Drosophila melanogaster: one gene and its partner. The protein of the gene in region 2 interacts with the protein of the main gene of each other region in a pairwise test. Each region holds a gene or a part of one and is shown on either strand. Other genes may lie near its edges.

Region 1 (4,824 bases), on a different chromosome or scaffold from region 2:
CTACTGACAACAGCTAAGGGTTTATAATTAGCCAACGGCATGGGGCGGTTTAAAAACCCCAGGGATCCACGAAGGGGCGCCCTTGAAAGCTGTACGAGCACCTGGCACTGTGCCCTTGGAACAGTTAGTCTTGTAGCTAAAGTTTGTAAGTGTTAACTCCATCTGATCACCCTGCGCCCTGTGGAACCGCTCCTGCCCTTGGACCTGCTTATAGCCATAAGGGAAAATGCGCCACTAGGGCAATATCAATTGACCAACTAGATGGCGAACATGGCAGTCGAGGAATTAGAGAGCAAAATTGTCCAACTGTTCGTAGAGAACCCCCTCCTGCGCTACGGTAGAGCTCCAGCAGTGACTTAATGCTATTTACTAATAAGGTATTATATTTCATCATATGTAGGTGCTGTTGGTCTGTGCGCCATCTACCTGATCTTTGGCTGGGGCGCCCAACTACTGTGCAACATCATTGGGGTTCTGTACCCTGCATATATTTCCATCCATGCCATCGAGTCCAGCACAAAGCAGGACGACACCAAGTGGCTGATCTACTGGGTCACGTTTGGAATCTTCACCGTGATTGAATTCTTTTCGAGTCTGCTAACTTCGGTGATTCCCTTTTACTGGCTGCTGAAGGTGAGCTTTGCATTCTTCACATATAAGAATCTTCTTTTAAATGCTTCAACTCCACATGTAGTGTGCTTTCCTCATCTGGTGCATGCTGCCCACGGAACAGAATGGTTCTACCATCATCTACAACAAGCTGGTGCGACCCTACTTCCTGAAACATCACGAATGTGAGTAAATTCACCTCTTAGATATTGCAATTTTACTAAAAGGAGATCAATATTTGCACACAGCCGTTGACAGGATCATCGATGATGGCATGAAGAAAGCCGCTGGAGTGCTGAAGCATGACTAGAAGGCGAATGTACCGTAGCTCCGACCGCTTCTCGCTTATCCATGCATTTGGTTTTGGGCCTGGTCACCAACCTCACCTCGTATTGGTTACGTTTTGCAATAAATTTTAATTCTGTATTCATTTTGTTGTTGATAAGAGCACCAGTGTTCGCTGAACCAGAAGAAATCTCCGTTTGTTAAACGTAAAAACGAAAAGGAGGCTTTTATTGAGGCACAACTATATTTATGCGGTTGATTCCGCCTTTTCTGGCGACGCCTCCGCTTCAGCAGCTGTCCTCCGGTTCCGCCAGGCGGTCATGTAGGTGCGCGGGTGGATGGGCAGTAGTCCGGCAATTCCCAGGAGTTCTGCAGCCGGCGTGGACAAGTGTGCACCTTTGCCCAGCCAATAGCGAATTCTCTCCGTGTTCAGGGCCACCAGTCGTTCGTTGTAATCGTTGGGCAGGGGATCAAAGGAGCCCACCTGCTCGATGACAGGCTGGTGCTGGTTCTTGCGCCTCTAAACCGGAAAATACAATTACCAATTAAAAGTTTTAACCATTTTAATGGCCTAAAAGTACGCACCTCCATGACGACAATGTGATAAAAAGGCCGATTGGTGCATCCCAGGCGTACGAAACGTATGATTTTTGCCGACTTGGCGTAGAAACGACCAATGCCACTGGCTGGCGATAGAGACATCCCGATATTTTATATATCTAATACAAGTTTTGGCATAAAATAAGGATTCTTCAATCAGAAAATGTGAATTGTTATGCAAAGCATGACCGTTGAGGGAAAATTTAACAATACCAAGCGATTGGGTCACACTATTAGTTAGCCCTAACAGCGTTGCCACCTCCGACCGCCCATGTTAGACAGTTGCGGCACCTCGACAACCCTGGCCTGCGCACACACAAGATGGCGTCAGAGAACGAGAAGCACGAACACTAAGGAATTTGTTCAGTGGTGTCTGTGTCTGTGAATTATATTGAAGGAAAAAGAGTGTTTTGTTTATAAATTTAATTGCAAAAACTGCACATCGTCACACGGGGCGCGTGCACACACATCGGCGCACACGCACACCCACGCCAAGGCGACACCTAAACGCAAAACGGAGAGTGTGTGTTATCAATGGAGTGTGTGTTCCCCAACGCCAAGTGAATTTTTTTCGTTGAGACCGAGGGACGGAAAAAAATGGCGCCCGCAGCCAGAGCAACTTGACTTTCTTTTCGGTCCTATATAGTTAGTAGTTGCTTGCCCCCGTCTCGTCGTCGGCGAGCGAATTCGGTGATTTTATTTCGATTTCGTCGCAGTGCGATATCCCCAACGAAGAAAACATAACGAATAATTGATGAAAAAGTGCTTGAGAGAGACCCCCCCAAACGTATTCGAATTTGTTGTGTACATTTTGGCTTCGAACACAGCCGCAAAAATACCATTACCAATTTCCACTTACTACTACTAGAGAGGAGGATAGTATTTTGTACGTGCTTTAGAATACATACATACATACCTACATATACCACAAGCAAGCGAGAAGTGCAATTACATTTGCGTTTGGAAATTTTGCGCTTTTTTCTCTTCCGTCCTCCCATCCAAAAAAAAAAACCCCCCGCTCCCCCTCTCTCTCTATCTTTCTCAACCCGCATTGTGCTAAATAATGTGTGCCGCCCAGAATCCGCCGCCCTTCGGCTATACCTGGGGTTTTGCGGACAACGGCAACCGCGCCGCCGAATCGGTACTGGAGATATCGCCCAACATCAACTATACAGTCAGCGGGGAGTCGGTGAGTCCAAAGTTATAGCTCTATTAAACTGATAAACCCGTTGAAAGCTGCCAGTCTGAGGATATTTCCCCCCTGTTGCCGACATTGCTCCAGGTGCGTGCGTGTGTGGGTGTTGGTGCTGCTGTTGCTGTTGCTTTCCCACACCGAATTGTGTTGTGGCCCACCAATGCATACACACAAACGCACACACGCACTGCGTTACACTCGCTCACGGACTCGCTCGTCTCACCAACACTCGCTGCTTTCGGCAACGAACTGTGTATGTATACGGCCCGAATGGCATTCACGTATACGGTATACGTGGAAAACGAGCGACAGCAACTGCGATATACATACTTACGTACATGTACAACGTATATATGCATACGCCACACGCTTTATGTAACTGCGTTGTCATGCGAATATACGAATATGTACGAATGAACGTACGTATGTATGTTTTTATGGGGGGGATGGAGCGAGTGTATTAGAATTCTTTTAGCATACATCCATACGGATTTTTTTCGTTTCCATTTCATTCGTAAACATTCATAATTTGGTATTTGTAAAACGAATGCGTACACAATTGGCTCTGTGTGCGGAGAAATTCCCAAAATACAACACGCGCACCTGGCGAGCAAGTAAATAAATAAATAGCAATAAATTCCCCCCACAGGCAAATCGGAGCAGTTAATTAGCGGGAAGGTCGTGAAATTTTCAAAAGTCTGGCAGCTGGTACAGGCAATCGATGCTAATCGATATTTTTCTAGGCTATTCATGCATATATCGCTAACCTAATTTAAGTTCTATTAATAATTATTGCTTATCCATAGGTTTTTTTGTTGTTTGTTTCTTTTTTTTTGAGAGCAATATTTTTTGTTGTGCAATTGACAGGAGAAATTGTGTTTGTTGTTTTTTAGTTTATATTTGCGGGCACTTATACAATGGCAAACGCGGCGAATTCGCCGCACTTGCGCGCCCGATATCTCCGCATGTGTGCGTCAGTGCCGAATTCGCCGCGCTTGCTGCCCTCTGTATGTGTGTGTATGTATGTATGCACGCACACTCGACCAGAAATGACGTGTGCTCCCCAGTGTGCGTTTGGTGTCGTGCGTGTGTTTTGATTACTTTTGCCGCACCATTTTGGCGCCCATCACACACACTCCCATGCCACGATGTCCAATTGCACTCACACACATACAGAGTGAAAAAGGCGCGCTTTTTGCGAACATCCCCTCCCGCTCTTAGCGCCCAACTTCCCCCCTCGTTCGTCGTCTATCATCTGTTGCCGCACTGCTGGCTGCGCAGGTGTAGCGTGGTTATTGGCGGTTATTATCAATCAGAGCGAAAACAAAAGACAAGCACTTGGCCAATAGAAGCATCAACCGCCAACAACTCCAAATCACAGCCTGCAGATCTTAGCGAGTGGCGACTGTACTTGCTGCCAAGTTTTAATTTCCCAAAAAAAAAAAGGTTCATGAAGGTCAATTCATTCATAAGTTTGAGCTGAACAATAAAACTGCTACAAGTTTACTTCCTCTCATTTGTTTAAATCGTTTTTGGGACATTAAAATTGTAGAAATGACTAGGGGCAATGTACATAGATTAAAAATTATTTATTATTCTTTTATATAAAAGAGCCTTTGTTGTTTGATATGTAACATTTCTTGAATGAAAGATAGATTTATAAAAAAAATGTGTAAGCCAGGCTTTCCTAAAATCGCAATTCCCAGGACCACGTGTAAACTAAACATGCAACTCCTACAACATAAGCATTATTAAGTTTATTTAGAAATTAGGACAAACCTTTAATTTATCCCCATTAGCCATGAGTACTAAAAGTCTTTGTTCCAGATGCCCTATCTACTATCGACGGATGGATCATTGGCAGTTCAAAAGGATGTCAAAGGCCTTACAGCTGGCGGCAAAAATAATGTCGTTCGTCGTATGTTCGTCGTAAACGATCCTTCATTTCCGCCTGGAACACAAAGGTGCGTTGGCGCTCCAGCAGCCCAAAGAGATCCCCAATGTACATATACCTAATTCTCAATCCCTTGCAGAGTTATCACTGCCGGCGGAGCATCGACGGTGGTCAAGAAGCAGGACAACAATCAGCAGGTCCTGAGCCTCGACAAGAACTGTAAGTGGATCGATTCTAAACG
Region 2 (4,376 bases):
GCCCAACCACTCCCCTCATATACCCATTTCACATATACCCTTGCATTATCGAGAAATCTGAACTTACATCGAACAAAAGTCGCCAGAATATCCCGATTTCCAAGCAAACGCATGTATATATATATATATACAAAAGCTAATGTGTATTCCCGCTAAGCAACTGAAAAGACCGAAAAGCAAATCACGAAAGAAAACCTTATATTTTGATGTATGTATTATTATTTTTTAATAAACCTAAGAGAACTTGTAACCGATCTGGTGTGTAATTGGTTTTTTCCTGGGAGGCTATAGCAAAACAATGTAAGTTTATTGTTTATATCACAACCAATTCGAGGCGTTAAAGTATACAAAAAAGTTAAAAATGATATTCGGTTCCTGCATTTATAAACGAAAAAATTGTTTCCCTCTGTAAGCAATACTTTTCAATTCAACTGAATTGCTTTCACTTATTTTTAGCTTACAAAAATCAATTTAAATACATTAGCCGGGCCTTAATCAAAAAAGATCTTACATATACCCTTTTGAAGACTGCGAATTAAAAAACCAGTTAACGATATAGTTTTTGTTCCATTTGGGGATTCGATTTATTCGACCACTCTTTTGCTTGCTGAATATGTACAATTTGCTTAAGTGTGCATTCGCGTTTTGGGGCTTTAACCGTAATTGGTTTGTTCTTACAGGGTAAAAATTATAGCTAATTAATTGTACATTCAAAACAAAAATGAGTCATCTAATCAAATTATATTCAAGAGGAAGATTGTGGAGTTCGGAGGCTGAGAATGATTATCAGTCTAATCGCTTTCTGTCGCAACATTTGCGCCATTGTTCTCCAGGCACTGCCAAATGGTCTTGGCCGCTGGACGATCCTCGCTGAGAGCATTTGTGCACAGATAAAACAGCTCCACGACGCAGTTGTAATCGTCGCTAAGTTGAAAGGCCACTGGCAATGGTGGTCGTGTACCATAGGCGGAATGAAGGTTATTCAGTGTAAAGTAAGAGATATCGTTCTCCTTCGTGTCATCATCTTCTTCATCGTCTTCCTCCTCCTCTTCCTTCTCCTCCTCATCATCCTCCTCGTCATAATCTTGACTCATATCGTTGTCTGTGTGTTCTTCCATTGCAGAAGGTAGTCCGTTCTTGTTTTCATCGCTGGAGAAGTCCAACTGTTTGCACTGCAGCTTGTCCGTGTCGGTGGGTAAATCGTGCGAACTGTCCATATCCTCTCCCAGTGCTGCATCAAGCTCCAAGGTATGTGGAGGCACCAAAGCAAGGGTTTCGTAGATAACCAGGCCAAAGCTGAATATGTCTGCCTTGCTGTCAATAACATCCACTTCGTCTATGACCTCCGGTGCGCACCAGAGGTTAGTTCCTAAAATATTAAGACATAAGTGGTTAATTTGACTGAATGTGAAATTATTTATATCATATGGGGTCAGTAAACTCACCCACATAGCGCAGTCCGGGATTCTTTAGGAAATTAACCTCGCCCTGCTCGTCCAGCGGAAGAGAGACTCCAAAATCGCACAGCTTACAAATCTCAAACTCGCCTTTGACCAGGACATTAAAGGACTTAAGGTCGCCGTGCATGAGGTGAGCTTCGTTGTGAAGAAAGTCTAGTGCCTGGGCCACGTCCATGATCATCTTATAGGTATGTTTGGCCGGCAACGGGCCCAGATCCTCGTCGTGTCGCTCCTCGAGTATGGAGCCCAGTGAAGTGGTGCACATTTCAAGTGCCAGTGTGTTGATGCCCTCGTCATTGGTGATAACGCCACGGAATCCCACGATGTTTGGATGCTTCAGTTTGCTGTAAAGTCAAAAGGTGCTGTTTATAGGGGGCAATTATTACAGCAATCCTGCGTAGTGTGTATAAAAAATGCACATTTTACGCAGTCACCTGTAGGTAACTCGATGCATTGGAAGCAAAAACTATGTACATCTAATAATAGCTTTATTTACTAGTATTGAGTTTCCCGGCTGAAGTGCGATGACTTAGGATCTTACTTGGAATATTTTGTTTGGTAATGCTATAATTTTTGTAATCTAATAAAGATTCTTTTGTTTAAAAGATGGGATATATGCAAAATAACATTTTAAGCTGGAATTTAAGGATGATCTATTCAATTCGAAGTGAGCCTAGATTACAATGGGGTATTTTAGCGAGCATGGACTGCAGCTGCTCAGCTGTGGGCCACCCTAATGAATTGCTGACCCACATATCGGATCACCCTAGCACACACGCACATTCAGCATCCGCACACGCACAAACACATGCACCCACACGCAGGACACCGACACATACTGCCAATTTGATTGGGCTTCTGGATTTGGATGAGCCTACCGCAGGATATCGGCCTCGTGAACAATTCGCTCGTTGAAGAGTGTATCCTTCTTGACCCGCATGTTCTGCGTGATCCGCTTGACGGCCCAGGGCGAGCGGATTTCGCCGAGACGAGGCGAGCGGTCCAAGCGGTAGACCCGGATCCCAGTGCCGTGGCCCAGGGTCTTCATCATCGGCGATGGCGGCACGTTGATGGGAGTGCTGCTGTTCTGGACATTCTCCAGGTGCAAATTTCTTAGCTTGCGGCGTGGCGTGTCCATCGCAGCAATAGTAAAATTCAATTAAACCAAAATTAAAGCGACGCGCACAAAACACCGTTTAAACTGTAAATGGAATGCAACAGTGTTGGTGTTGTGTTTGGTCCTAGGCGATAGAGTGACCGTGGCGTCTCTTTTGACTGGAATTAATCGCAAAATAGATGCTAAGCGCAATGTTCTTGTTACTGCCTTGTAGAGCACTCAAACTCTACTAAGTAATAGCTTATAAACTTCCGTCTGAAGTAACTGAAAAACAAAACACACGCCTGCTGTTCTAGGGCGCTGTGCGACTGGTCACACTGAATAGTGGACCGGCGTGCAGTACTAAATATTTAGTCGTTGGCATTCAAATTGCTCCTTATAAATTCCAATTAACTACGAATTATAAGAAATAGAATCCAGTTCCATAATGTTGGCAACGAAATTGGATGGAGTACCTAATACAAGGCCAACAAATATCCGTTTTTAATATATAAAAGTTAGCAACACTATTTTCCATGTTAATACCGGTCGTTTTGTACCGTTAAGCTTTAAATTAAATATATGACACTTAGCCAAGACGCGAACCCATACAGGTGCGTGTTACCCAGACAGCAACCGACACAGAAGTACCGCATTTCGTTGGTATTATTTTCACACCAACAATTGGCGCGAAAGCCGTGCCAAAGCAGAGATGCGATAAAGAAGAGGAGTGCAGAGAGGCGGCAGTCTGTGGAGAAACACCAGTGGAATCGCACACAAGCGCGGCGATTCGAAAGCGGACGTGTGTGAAAATCCAGACCGCGGGTTTTTTAAAATTTTTTGTTTTATTTTTTCGCGTGCGGTGTGGGAGGGTGTCACATCCAAAAAACACAAAGCGACAGCAACAACAACTCCGTTAATATTCTGGATCGGGCACACACGCACACAAACATAAAAAAACCGAAATATACACATGCTTGGCGGAGTTCGTGATTTAAAAATAATACAAAACACCAGAATTAAATATACGCGCACGCACACACACACGCGTATGTAAGGTGCAAAATAAAGTTTCTTTACTGGTTTCTGGTGTTAACAACAACAAAAAACATGAATAACTAAAGAAGAAACCGAAAATATAAACGAAAAGAGGAGCCGCAAAAATGCCACTCAGCTGTTACGGCGAAAAAACAGCGAAAAACGCCAAAAACATCGAAAATCAGGTGTAGCGAGAGAGGAAATATGGTGATTAAAACAAAGAGTGGAATTGGAAACGAAATCGTTAAAAATCAAATAATAACAATAACTACAACAAAGGCGGCGGCAACCTGCTCTTGAAATTGCCACAAATCTTGCTTTAATCTTTTGTTTTACAATAACCCCCAAAATCGCCATAAGGCACAAGTGCAATAAAAACCATAACAACAACAACAACAGCAAGAACAAACAAAATCAATATTCAAATTAAGCAGCAGCACCAACAACAACAACTCAACGAGCCGAGTCGATAAGCTAAACGATAAGTGCGAGAGCCAAAAAGGGGAGAAGAGCGCTCGACAGAGAGCGCGCGAGAGAAAAGCCGAGAGAGTGAGAACACAGCATCCACCCAAACCAAATCCACAAAATTACCACCCCCACAAAATGGGACGTCGAACGTATTTAAGCCGGTCCTCAACGATTTCCTACCCCAGCAGAATCGAAGGATGGCTGGATGTCTGCGGTGAGTGGGAGTTACATATGTACATACATATAACATCATAGACTTCATAGTGAATATCTCTCTAATTTATGTTTTATAAGTGAAATATAGGGTTGTAGTG

Evidence for each region. Proteins that work in one complex are often made in the same cells at the same time.
Region 1: the proteins of CG8173 (region 2) and cg interact in a two-hybrid assay, tested with the Drosophila melanogaster proteins (2 studies listed by BioGRID).

The regions. Positions count from the first base shown.
Region 1 is NT_033778.4:14,171,890-14,176,713, forward strand, and holds the start of cg (combgap), read left to right. Parts: upstream 1-1,803; 5' UTR 1,804-2,557; coding exon 2,558-2,683; intron 2,684-4,516; coding exon 4,517-4,653; intron 4,654-4,722; coding exon 4,723-4,802; intron 4,803-4,824. Other genes in the region: ReepB (receptor expression enhancing protein B), read left to right, coding at 401-633, 695-794, 858-919; mRpS16 (mitochondrial ribosomal protein S16), read right to left, coding at 1,142-1,414, 1,480-1,596.
Region 2 is NC_004354.4:17,706,844-17,711,219, forward strand, and holds CG8173 (uncharacterized protein), read right to left. Parts: upstream 2,811-4,376; 5' UTR 2,599-2,810; coding exon 2,339-2,598; intron 1,805-2,338; coding exon 1,446-1,804; intron 1,370-1,445; coding exon 792-1,369; 3' UTR 558-791; downstream 1-557.